2 linked regions of the Nothobranchius furzeri genome follow. The main gene of each other region encodes a partner of the protein of the gene in region 2 in a complex. Links are inferred from orthologs where the notes say so. Each region holds a gene or a part of one and is shown on either strand. Other genes may lie near its edges.

The links.
Region 1: ahi1 (region 2) and tmem107l share a complex: the UniProt entries of both Homo sapiens proteins name them as parts of the tectonic-like complex. The link is inferred for Nothobranchius furzeri from reciprocal best matches to the Homo sapiens genes AHI1 and TMEM107.

Annotation. Positions count from the first base shown.
Region 1 is NC_091745.1:78,309,151-78,315,646, reverse strand, and holds tmem107l (transmembrane protein 107), read left to right. Parts: upstream 1-1,900; 5' UTR 1,901-2,207; coding exon 2,208-2,294; intron 2,295-3,927; coding exon 3,928-3,995; intron 3,996-4,068; coding exon 4,069-4,169; intron 4,170-4,893; coding exon of another isoform or gene 4,894-4,990; intron 4,991-5,054; coding exon 5,055-5,151; intron 5,152-5,273; coding exon 5,274-5,343; 3' UTR 5,344-5,545; downstream 5,546-6,496. UniProt on the Homo sapiens protein: Plays a role in cilia formation and embryonic patterning. Requires for normal Sonic hedgehog (Shh) signaling in the neural tube and acts in combination with GLI2 and GLI3 to pattern ventral and intermediate neuronal cell types.
Region 2 is NC_091758.1:20,123,927-20,130,322, forward strand, and holds part of ahi1 (jouberin), read left to right. Parts: coding exon 1-298; intron 299-391; coding exon 392-477; intron 478-551; coding exon 552-738; intron 739-867; coding exon 868-1,060; intron 1,061-1,134; coding exon 1,135-1,230; intron 1,231-1,313; coding exon 1,314-1,499; intron 1,500-1,595; coding exon 1,596-1,748; intron 1,749-1,857; coding exon 1,858-1,990; intron 1,991-2,152; coding exon 2,153-2,276; intron 2,277-2,391; coding exon 2,392-2,621; intron 2,622-2,727; coding exon 2,728-2,837; intron 2,838-3,856; coding exon 3,857-3,975; intron 3,976-4,111; coding exon 4,112-4,242; intron 4,243-4,461; coding exon 4,462-4,602; intron 4,603-4,676; coding exon 4,677-4,870; intron 4,871-4,942; coding exon 4,943-4,988; intron 4,989-5,063; coding exon 5,064-5,167; intron 5,168-5,303; coding exon 5,304-5,421; intron 5,422-6,033; coding exon 6,034-6,086; intron 6,087-6,217; coding exon 6,218-6,277; intron 6,278-6,354; and 1 more. UniProt on the Homo sapiens protein: Involved in vesicle trafficking and required for ciliogenesis, formation of primary non-motile cilium, and recruitment of RAB8A to the basal body of primary cilium.

The DNA.
Region 1 (6,496 bases), on a different chromosome or scaffold from region 2:
TCTGTGCTGTCTAAAGCTTGTCTGATTCACTCAACGTTTGCTTTACATGCTCTTAAATAAGTCATGAGCTGATATGTTGCATCACATCATCATCATCTGTGGATTTCTACTGCTGAGGCACAAGGATACTGAGGTCATTTACGTCATCCCCACCCAACATGAGTAAATTATTCCAAATCTTTCCTTCCACCTGTTTTGAGGGACCGCTCCAGACGGTCGGGCGTCCTGGGCGCAGGCCGACGTGCCTGTCTTGGAGAGCGAGTGTTTGGGGTGGAGGCAGGTGAGTTGGGGTCCGGGGGGAGATCTGGAGGAGGATAACCTCTCTGGACCAGCATCTCAGCTGCACAAAGCAGGCACACGCTGTGCTGGCACGGGAGAAGGATAGGCTGCTTCACCGTCTCGTCACACACCGGGCAATGCAGCTCCTGCTCCATACTCTTCATGTTGGACTGGAGGAGAGGCAGTGTGGATGTGGGAGAGGTCGAAAGAGAGAACAGACAAAAAGACCTGAGTCAGAAACAAATGCATGAGGTGTTTATCTGAAGCCTCTTATGTTCGGCCTTGTCAAGTGAACAGAGTAACTGTGTAAAGTTAGAATAACCAGAAAGAAAATATGTAACGAAGTTAGCTCACATTTTCTCTCAAATGTTTAACAAACAATAAAAATGTTAAATTCACGAAAAAAAGCATGATGAAAATCAGTTTCCGTGGACGTGGTGGCTCTTTTCCATCACTGCAGCTAGAGGGCGCAGCATCCCGTTTCTATGACAACCAGCATCATCTCTGTCTTTTCGTGTGCACGGCCCAACGCCTCTCGTGCTATTTTCTAACATATTTAAATTAGTCCAACAGTAAAAAAATCAAACGCATCAACTTCAGCTTCCACGTTTTAAATGTTGTTTTGTTGTTATTTACACAGTGCCAGAGCTTTACTGTGACGCTGATATCATGTCTCCAAACGGAATTAGCACGCTCCATCATCACAGCTGGACACATCTGTATGCAGATGGCTTCATATCTGAAACATGGGGGGAAATCCGCTAAAACATCCAGACTGAAACTGCACAAATGGCTGAAGTGACTAATAAAGCCAGCGTCATACTCACGTTGATGCGAACCAGCGCGTCCATGATAGAAGTAAAGGTTTGGAACTCCGACTCGGCCATGATGCTTTCTCGATTTAAGCGACTCAAAAGGATCTCCTGGAGAAAACCCCGGCTGGTTGTCTTCTTCTCCTGGCCGCGAGGCAAAGCCCGGGCCTTGGCTGGTGCCGCTCCGCTGCTCACGCACGCTGGATCGGTTCAGTCTGCCTCGGGGGAAGAGTCCACTGGTGGGATGGGGGTGGGAAATCTCTGGCTCAGACCATCTAACAGAAACACATTCGTTTCTTATTGCGCTGTTTTGTTTTACAGGCACGTTTATCCTGCCAATTCCAATTAAACATGCGGTTGTTGTTTGTCTTTTTAAAAATAAAACCGTTTTATCCAACAGCGAACGGATCTGGTGGCCCTTTCTATTTCTTTCATTTTGTCTTGTTTTTTTTTTCGGGGAACCTGAATTTTCGGGTAGTTTTAAGCATTTTTATGATAAAAATGAAAAGACATCAGGTGTTACCATCAGATCGCAGTATTGATGAATAAAAAAAGCAAATAAATAAACAAATAAATAATAAATAAATAAATAAATAAATATCCAGCTACACGTCAAGCTACACCTCTTTTACTAACTCTGACCAGGAAAAATGAAACGCGCTGACTACCCACCGTTACTAAATAAGATGTTTGGGTTTCTCTGTTTTATATTATTTACTGCTGATTAAAAACTCTTTTACGTGACGCGTTCATGGTCAACGCGGAACCGTTTAGGTGTTCGTTTTTTTGTCCGGTCATTAAAACCGTATGCACATTGTCCGTGGTTGTTGTAGCAACCGTTAGTTGCGTCACAACGTGAAGTTTTTGGCTCTGTTAACGAACGAGACACAAAACTAAGCTATAGACTTCGCGAGTTTTTAAACAAACAAATGAATCAGCTGGTTTATGTCATTAGCCGCAAGATAAACAGATGCTAAAGTGTTCGTTTAAAGTTAGCACATTTAGCTACATGCTAGCCTAGCTTACTGAGTGGTTTCCGTCGCAGTAAACAAAAACCTTTTACTCTTTTTTTTACTCACGAGCTTTTAGAGTTTTACTTTGCTGATTAGGATCACCATGTCGGCCATCAGCAGCCTTGTTCCTGCTCGGTTTCTCACCATCACAGCTCATCTTGTCATTGTTATCACCATCTTTTGGTCAAGGGTAAGAAAAAAATGGTTTATCTTTAATCTGATTTCTTGTGCCTGATTTTATTTTCATAATGGAGAAAACTTTATGGGATTTTAGATCTGTGGTTTTATTAGACGTTGCTGTTATATGAAATACCACAAAGGTGAACACACAAACACATTGTTAGAAATTCTGCTTAAACATCAAAGGTAATTAAAACATATTCCTTGTTGTGTTATAAAACGTCATTTAAGTTCCAGGAAGTGTCCTCATTGACCCCTAACCAGCATGTTCTGGTTGTTTCCCTGCCCAAACACACCTGATTCAATGGTTGAGTCACCTGTTTAGCATGATTAGGTCTGCAGAAGCTGTTAATCACCTCTAGGGTTGTCACGGTGTGAAAATTTAACCTCACGGTTATTGTGACCAAAATTATCACGGTTTTCGGTATTATCGTGGTATTGTTTTAAACGTGTTACATTTTCAGGAAACTAAATAAACCCTGTATATCAGGAAAATATTGTCCTCAGTTTGTGTCTAAATTTTGCCTAAAATGTGTTATTTTGTAATTATGTTGTTTATTTGTTTACATATTTCCCCTTAAGTCTTTAAAATACCAATATTTGCCCATAACTTTTCTTATTTTATGTCTGTTTGATGTCATCATTTTAAAAATATTAGACCAGATGATACTCAGTACTCAAGTAGCCTTCTAATCAGATACTTTTTACCCTTACTTGAGTAATAAACCCTATATCAGGAAAATATTGTCCTCGGTTTGTGTCCTTCCAGTGAGCTTTGCAGATGTGGGAAAATGGCATCAGGCAGTAATCGTTGTTAAATTCATAATTATTCTCGGAGAGAGACCAACTCTTATCTGCCCCTGGGAGCCCCGTAATGCATAGCGTCATTTCAACATGGCGGTGTCCGCGACACGGTTTATATGCAGGTAGCGGCGCTGCGGCTGCTTTATATAGCGACTCGTTGCGTTCTCCCTCAACCCAAATCCTCGGATCACGCATTTTAGCTAAAGCGCTAACGTTAGCTTGCCTTGCGTTGACTGTAGAGTTGTGGGTGATGGTCACGCAGATGTGTCATGAGATTTGAAGCGTTGCTGCCTTTCACAGACACTTTTTCTGCTCGTGCTGCAAACAGGATAGCCGTCTTCTATCAGCTTTCCCTCGGCATTCTTCTGGTATAAAAAAATGCCCGTACTTCTGACTTTGTCTTCTTAGAGCGATAATAAATGTCCTGAGTGCTGCCGTCTCCTCCTTTGTCCGTTATTTCAGCTTTAGCTTCAAGAAAGTTTTGGTTGTAAACAACAAAGTGCGCATGTGCCGCCGGCAACTTCAGCAGATGATACGGTGGCTGGTAAGGGTCACCGCGCCTACACCGCAGCCACGGTAATCCACCGAGATAATATAGTTTTTAAAAAAACAAGACGGTTATTATTATTGTCAACTTTTTTACCGGGGTTTACCGCTACACCGGTTACCGTGACAACCCTAATCACCTCTTGGTTAAAAACAGCAGAGCAGAGAAACCACTGAAACATGCTGGATAGGGGCCCTCGAGGTGCAGGGATGGACACCACTGCTCTACGGTCAACATCACATCCAGATTATTCAGCCCTTGAAATAATTTGCAATTGTTTTTCTTTTTATAGGAAAATAATGTAAAAGCATGTTTACCACTGGATTTCACACCAGAGCAGTATGATACCGAAGACAAAAAGTGAGTAGATATGTATGTAACACACTCGTATTATCAGGTTCTCGGATTAAATGATCTCTTTTGTTCCCTCCAGGCTGGTGGTGGCGCTGGCAGTCACACTTGGTCTGTTTGTAATCGAGCTGGCTGGCTTCTTTTCAGGAGTGTCTATGTTCAACAGCACTCAGGGTCTCCTGTGTATCCTTTACTCATCCTTAATGAAATATATATATATATATATATATATATATATATATATATATATATATATATATATATACATATATGACCTTTAATATTCAACAGTAAAGCGACTTCTGGTTAAGGCTGTAACACAAAGAACACGCAGCAGCAGCAGCTAGTGGATAACTAGCTTAGCTCTCTCCCACTTGGTCGGTTCTCTCTAAAAGACAAACGGAATAGCTGAATAAAACCCAAATTACTATAAAATAAAGGTTTGTTATAGGTTAAAGAGTAAGGATGAGTGAATTTGTTATTAAAAAGCTAGTCACTCCCAAATTAACTTTTTTTTTTGCTGATTAACTATATAAATGAGTGTCAATAGTTTTGCTAAGAAATACACACACACACACAGGCTCACAACGACACTGTGACATCATATGGTACCAGCTAACGTTCTAGGGTACCTCTTAGCCAATAGCGATGGCAGATTTAAATTCAAATGCAGTGCAGAGTTTTTACCTGACAACGGCACGACACTGACAGTTTTAGGCAGAAAATTTAAATTTTAACAAAAATGCACTAAAGTGCTAAACTATTTACGACACGTGTCTGCAGCACGATTAGACACACATTTATTTAGTTTATCAGGAAAAAAATGTTGATTTGGGGGTGACTTGCTCTTTAAATGTCAAAAAGTCATCAGTTACAGTTCCATGACTTGTTGGATGTAACGTTATAGCAACAGGAGTCCACGCCAGTGCCGCAGTGGCTCTGCTTTTCTTTCTCTTTGAGCAGTGGCAGTGTGACAGCTACTGGTGGATTCTTGCCGTTTGCAGGTTAGTTTATAACTTTTATTGTTTTCATAAAGAGTTTGTTTCCCTAACAGACAGTTGTCTCCAGCATTGGCTGTCCACTGCAGTGCATCTGTGTCCTTGTCTTTCTTTGTGTTTGAGAAGTGGGAATGCTGGACTTACTGGGTGATTTTTGCAACCTGCAGGTCGGTGTGCCTGTGTGTTGTTGCAAATAAATGTGTTATTTCTCAGATAGTCTACATTTAGAGGAAGCACGTGTGTGTAATGGTTGTGTTTTCCTCATGTTTCCCTCCCTCTCTCCCTCTAGTGTCCTACCAGCCTGTGTGGAAATTCTTCTGTTCATCGCGGTTTTTGGACTGAAGAAGAAGCCTCTATGAAAGAGTTTTCCACGTAAAAGCACTCAGATTTAGTCTGGACATGATTATAGGAACAGATTTAGAGTTTTAGTATTGTATTGATCTGACAGAAGCTGATAGTCATGTTGAGAAACTGCTTGAATGCGCTGCAGAATCCTTCTGCCATTTATTTTTCTGTAAATATTTGTTTTATATTTAAATAAACCCATAAATTATCTGAAAATGCATTTTTCTTCTTTTCCACTGCCTTACAATGTTTGCTAGCCACAAAGTGTTTAAAGAAAGTTTAATTGACTTTAAAGAGCAAGTCACCCCCAAATCAACTTTTTTTTCTGATAAACTATATAAATGCGTGTCTAATCGTGCTGCAGACACGTGTAGTCCATAGTTTTGCACTTTAGTGCATTTTAGTTAAAATAAAAAAATTCTGCCTAAAACTGTCAGTGTTGTGCCGTTGTCAGGTAAAAAATCTGCAGTGGATTTAAATCTGCCATCGCTATTGGCTAAGAGGTACCCTAGAACGTTAGCTGGTACCATATGATGTCACAATGTTGTGAGCCTGTATGTGTGTGTGTTTGTTAGCGGCTCCGCCCTCTCTGTTTGCTAGGCAACAGCATTTGTTGCATTTTTCAAACAGGAAGTAGGAGCGGAGTAATACTCTAGTAGGGGGTGACTTGCTCTTTAACAAAACCAAACAGCATAATGTGCATAACAGTTTGAATTACTTTGCTGACGTTTGTAATTTCTAAATATGTCAGATATTAAGCTATTATTTTTAGTTCAAGACCAATAGACAGCTAACTACATTTATCACGCACACACTAAGATTCACACAATCCACTTATTTTACAAATGGTACACATTTGGTTTTAAACAGGAAAACCATTCATGTATTTTGATTTCACGATGAGTGAATAAACTGCTCAAACATATAACAACCATGTTAATACATGTTTTTAGTGAAAAAGCTATTAAAAATCAAAGATGTCTTCCTGAACTGGCGAGGCTTTAAATCTGTCCAACAGCAGTCTTTTCAATTCAAATTCAAATTCAAAAATACTTTATTAATCCCAGAGGGAAATTGATTGCTGTAGTAGCTCAGAATAATAATAATAATTAAGTCATCAAAGAGTTATTGTATATTACAATGGCTGTTGGCAGGAAGGATCTCCAG
Region 2 (6,396 bases):
GAGCCGACAATACTTTGAATCCAGAAGCTGCTGTTGGTGAAAAGAAACGAAAAGGAAAAAGTAAGAAGGGAAAAGTCAGAGAAAATGTAGAAGATGTTGCAGAGAGTCCGGTGGAGGATCCAGAAGATAAACTACTGCATGAATACCAGCAGCAGATGGCACAGGAAGAGGAGCTGACTGTGAAGAAAACAAGGGTCAAACGGGAAACTGTTAACTCACAAAGTGCTGTGTTGAATAATGATATGGGGAAGAAGAAAAAGAAAAAGCTGAAATCTGTAACAACTGAGTCAGATGTAGGGTGTGTATTTCTCTCTAATTTTAGCTTTATTGTAGTTTTTGATATCAAGAATAAAGTTTAAGCAGCATTTTGACTTTTTTTTTCTTTAATCAGGGATCAAGATGAGGAAGTCAATCCAGATGCTGATGAGGAAAATAAAACTGAATCAAAGGGAAAGAAGAAAAAGAAGAAGAAGCACGGTAGTTTTTTAAAACAAAGTAATTTGTGTAACATAAAAAGAGATTTTGATGAGTTATTTTTCTCAACTTTTTAGTTGTCAAAGAAGAAAGTGAAGCTGAAGCAGCAGAGGAGCAAAAGCCGACATTTGATGACGGTCTTGTTCTGGGAGTGTTCGTTCATAAAACGGATCGCCTGAAGACGGACTTACTGATCTCGCACCCCATGGTGAAGATCCACGTTGTTGATGAGATCACGGGCAATTATGTGAAGAAAAGGGACTGGTGAGAAGAAGTTATCTCTGATCTTATGCTGCTACACCTATCAGCGTTAAAATATTTGGGCTACAGTTTAAAAAAATGTTTTCATGCTCAAACATTTAATTAAAAGTGAAATCTGTTTGTGTTTTGAAGCCATCGACCTGTGTCTTCCTATTATGAGGGACAGAACGTCGACCATATCCTCCCTATCATGACTCAGCCTTTTGACTTCAAGAAGAACAAATCCATCATCCCCGAGTGGCAAGAGCTAATCATATTCAACGAACGCTTTGGCTACTTTGTTGAGCAAAAGGATGAAAGCCCCAGAGTCATCCTCTTCTTTGAAGTGAGATATACTTCATTACCAAGTGAATAACCATATTTTAAGAAAAGTCACTTATTTTCTAAATATTTTTTAAGATCCTGGATTTTAAGACCATGGAGGAGGTAAAAGCCAACTTGGACGTTGATAAACACGAGCAAGGGTTCAGAAAGGTCGCATGGGCGTTTCTGAAGGTAAAGAGAACATTCTGTTCACTTGTCAGTCTATATTTGTTACTGTTCATCATTTTTAAACATGTTTTCTCTCCATATTTTAGCTTGTTGGCACAAATGATGTTTTAAACATCGACAGTAAACTTCGTCTCCAGCTCTTCTGCCCTCCACCTCGGGCAAAGAGACAAACTAAAACGATAGAAGTGTTTGAGTGGTGGAGGAAGTACCCACGAATCCATTATGCTTCCACCCTTTATGTTACCGTGAAAGGGATCAAACTCCCAGAACATGTAAGTCTGCAGCTAGAAACTGATGATTCATTACGTTTTTCTGTTGTCCATACTTCTACTTTGGTAAAGCAGAGTTGGTTTGTGCCGTTTGTGCAGGTGGACCCCGGTATCCGATCTATGATGGCGCTACAGGAGGAGAGAGGCAGCACCACCTATAGTGATCTGCAGAAAGAGATCACACAGAAAACTCTGACACAGCCTCCTGATAGCAAGCAGCCGATCCTGAGATGGAGCCGTGCTGTTGGTCAGGTCGGCGGAGGCTCCAAGTCACATGATGCTGCTTTCTATCAAATGTTTATTATCTGATCTACTTAAGGAAGTGAAGAGCTCAGGACTAGACCTTGTCTGTGTGTTGCAGATCTGCCGAATCCCTAACAAACTGGTCTGGTCGTTCCGTGGGGGTCAGATGGGATGTTTCACCGTACTGTTTTCTCACGCTGGAACCATGCTGGCTGCTGCTTGTGCCGACAAAGATGCTTTCCCCGTCGTAGGTGAGCCACACCTCATCTGTACAAAATTCACCTTATTTGTGAGCAGCAACGATTTTGGGAGTTTCTTTACACAACTTTGTATTGAAGTCCTCAACCATCCATGCATGCAGGAGAAGGGAGAGGAAGCACCTTTTAAAAGAACGTATTTGTCTAATTTTCCAGTGTATGAGATTCCCTCCGGCAGAGCGTTAGCTGCCTTCAGCGGCCATCTGAAGATAGTGTACGATCTCTGCTGGTCCAGAGATGATAAAAGCTTGTTGTCTGCCTCCTCAGACGGAACGGTGAGGTAAGTTCCCACAAGAGGGCGCAGTAGCCTCTCCTACTATATCAGTGTGATTTTGTTAAGCTTCGGAATACATTTTATAAAACAGCACTTTCTTCCTTTTCATCTCCTCCTTCAGAGAGTGGAATGTCGAGATGCTTCTAGAAACAGCCCAGAAGGTCCTCTCTCATCCGTCCTTCGTGTACTGCGCTCAGTACCACCCCAGCGCTCAGAACCTGGCAGTGACAGGGAGCTACGACTGTCTGGTGCGAGTGTGGAGGCTTGATGTCCCTGATGTGAACGGCCAGCTGCTGCAAGAGTTTGAGGGTCACAGCAGCTTCATCAACACCATTTGTTTTGACTCTGAAGGTATTAGCTTCCAAATGTTTAGATGACCCCACCAAGTCCTTCCCATCTGGTTCAGTCCCTCCTAAACACCTCTGACTGTTTATGGTAATTTCTTTTGTGTAAACAGGATCTAGGATGTTCTCTGCAGACAACACAGGCACCATCATCGTGTGGAAAACTTCAGTGAATGATGACAAGAACCGACAGAAGCCATGTCATCGTTGGTGCATAGAGAGGGTACGAGTCTAGATTAGAGCCCGTGTGGGACTATTCTTTATGTTGTCTGTTTCTGTCACTCCCATGCAATCTCGCAAAGTTTGTGTCCAACCCCACCTCCACCTGCAGCTCCATTAAATAACAAAACAACATGTTTTACGATCAAATACGTTTATATTTATGTCGCGTGTTACCTCTGTAGCCTCAGTTGTACTCTTCATCCTATCAACAGTCTTGAGATTCGTGGTATACTTCTAGCCACCCGCTCCCTCCTACAGCAGTCTCACAACTGCCAGCATCCACCAGATTAGCGTTGGTTTCTGTGGGATCCCAGTCCCAGTGTAGGGCTCTAGTCTAGATTTGTTCAATTGGAGTCAAACTAAATTCTCACAGACACAAAAAGATATTTTTCTCTGCAAATATTTTCTTCTTTGAGCGAGTGAGGGAAAATGGAGTGTGAGTTTGATAGGCAGATTGGTTCTGCGTCTGCAGTGACGTGGGCGTTGTACCGATCTGTCGTGGTGAAGAGAGAGCTGAGCCGGAAGGCAAAGCTCTCCATTTACCGGTTGATCTACGTTCCTACCCTCACCTATGGTCATGAACGTTGGGTAGTGACCGTAAGAACGAGAGTGCGGATACAAGCAGCCGAAATGCGTTTTCTTCGCAGGGTGGCTGGGCTCTCCCTTAAGAGATAGGATGAGAAGCTCAGCCATTCGGGAGGGGCTCTGAGTAGATCCGCTGCTCCCCCACGTCGAGAGGAGCCAGTTGAGGTGGCTCGGGCATCTGGTCAGGACGCCTCCCTGGTGAGGTTTTCTGGGCACGTCCAACTGGGAGGAGACCAAAGGGAAGACCCAGGACACGCTGGAGGGACTACGTCTCCCAGCTGGCCAGGGAATGCCTTGGGATTTCCCCGGAAGAGCTGGCCCAAGTAGCTGGGGAGAGGGAAGTCTGGGTGTCTCGGCTTAGGCTGCTGCCCCCGCGACCCAACTCCGGATAAACGGCTGAAAATGGATGGATGGACTTTTTTCTTGTCTCTGCAGAAAATCTCTGAGGATGACCTGCGAAGCATACCCATCAGCATGCTGCAGCTCCACCCTAATGGTCGGTGCCTGCTCATACACGCCAAAGACAGCATCCTGAGGATGATGGACTTAAGGATGTAAGTTAGAAAAAAATAAAAAATCTCTAATGATAGCTACACCAACAAACTTTGAAGAGGAATGAGTAAAGTCATGTTATAGATATCATGGAAAATTAACAGAAAGTTTATGTTTTTTTACATTTGTCGCCCCCAGTTTGGCTGTGAAGCGATACACTGGAGCAACAAACTACAGAGAGAGGATTTGTAGCACCTTCACACCTTGTGGGAATTTCCTCCTCTCTGGTAGCGAGGATGGGATGGCGTACGTCTGGAATACTGACACAGGTAACAGCGTTTTAGTCGCCGCCGGTGAAGATGTGCTTGTCTCAGTAAACTGGATGGATTTTAATGCAACTCTCAGTAAGTTAAGACACAGGATGTGTGTCCACAGCTGATTCACCCAGTTCAAGATGGCCGCCACAGCTTATCAATTTTTATTAACAAAAAAAAAATCAAATTCAGTTGGGAATTTTGCATCTTGTTGACTTCTCCTGCTCTTCCCAGGTGACCAGGTTGAGGTATACTCTGAGCTCTGTTACCACACCGCTCTCCATGGCGTCTCTTTCCACCCTCATGAGAACATGGTGGCGTTCTGCGCGTACGGTCAGAGCCAGCCTGTGCTCGTGTACCTGTACGATCGCAAAGGTTTGTGTCGTCTTTGATGATTTTTGTTGTTTTTTGCTTTTCGTACACTTTGCTAAACATGTTTTATCATTTAGTTTCCCAGCTGGAGATGCAGAACATTAAAGCAGCGAGCACATCGGCGTCTGCAGACCGAACGCTCAGAAACACGCCCGACTCTCTGCTGCTGCTGCAGGACACTTCTGCTCCTTCGGCCATGGACCAGTTTGCTCATGCAGCACGACTCGCCATGAAAATGCAGTCTGTTAAACGGCGGCTGGATTCAGTTCTGGTAAATCTTCTTTAACTCACAAAATATCATTTAGTTATTTAAACGGGGCTCATATTTTGACACCATTTGTAGGAACCACATCGCCGATCTTCAGCTTCTGGATTTCTTTCGGATCACGGTCTGTATGAGAGCATCTCAGATGAGTTTGTTTGTTTACATGCAGAGTATTTAGTCTTGTTCTCTTTATTTGCAGACAAAATGGGCATCAGTCATATGGGGAAGAGCTTTCCACCAGACACTAGCACGGTGATTATACGGTTACAGACCCCAAACACCACACAGACTCACAAGGTTACTGTGAGTCATATTAAAGTTAATGAAGGCTGTTTGTCTCCACATTTCTTTCAGAGTTAAAACGTTTAAGCCTTCTGTTGTGTATTATCAGTAGACGTTGCATTAGAAGGTGTAAATGAAAGTTTTTGCTCTTCCTCAGATGGGATTAAATGTCTCTCTGCCACCTCCGTCTCTGCTGTCACCGCACTCCAAGCTGCAGCTCTCTGGTTCTTTTGCAGAACAGCTAATCCCGCAAGCAGCCCTGAGTACACAAACCCGTGAGTGTCTCGTCCAGATAATCAGTTATTTGTGCTGGAACAATGAAGGGAGTTTCTGGAGCTGGGAGACGAGGTCAAATGTTTCCAGAGATTATCGCTGCTCAAACTCCTGCATGATGTAACTTCAAGATTTGATCAAAGCTGTGAAGCTTAGAGTTTTTTAGAGCAAGAGAGTGATTTCAGCAATAAGGGGACAATGGTCAAGCAACCTGGTTTTATGTGGAAACGCTAAGTTTCACCCAGCCTGATTACTGCTAAAGCTTTAGGTGAGAAATCAACAAGTGAAGTAGGCAATTTCAAAAAGCAACACGTTCTAAACCCTCCAATGTGGCTGAATTAAAAGTAAAGCGGGGCAAAACTCCTCCTCAGCGATGTGAGACGCCTCACCGGTCATCACTAACACCTGACGGCTGTTGTTGCCTTCAGGAGTTAAACCAGATGTTAGGTTTGGGGGTCAGAACCAGGTTGCTTTGGGCGACTTTGTTTTTCTTTGATGTAGATATTTGCTGAAATTTTTTAGCTTATCTGAAACATTTAAGTGTGACAAAGAAGCAAAAGCAGAAGAAATCTGTGAGGAACTTTGCTTTTTGTTGTTTTGTTGTGTAATTCCAGGAGGGTTTAGTTCAGTCAGTCTCAGAGGAGCTTCAGCTTTTAGGCAACAGTCGGTAAGGTTTGGAACACTTTATTATTTTTTTCATTGCAAGCCCCTTTAATAATCCATCCTCCACTGAGTCTAGCATATAATTCCAATTTAAAGACTTCATCAGAAGGTTAAGTGGTGTTTTGTCTGGAACAGAGCCTTCGTGACCATTCGGGGAATCACCTGGAGACGGATTTGGTTCCAGTTCAGCAAGTAGTGAGTCTCCACTGTGACACTGATCTCAGAAGCATGTGTGTTTGCATTCTTGTTGCATCTTTGTGTTTCTCTCTCAGGTCGTTTCCCTCTACGATTACACAGCTAATCGCTCTGATGAA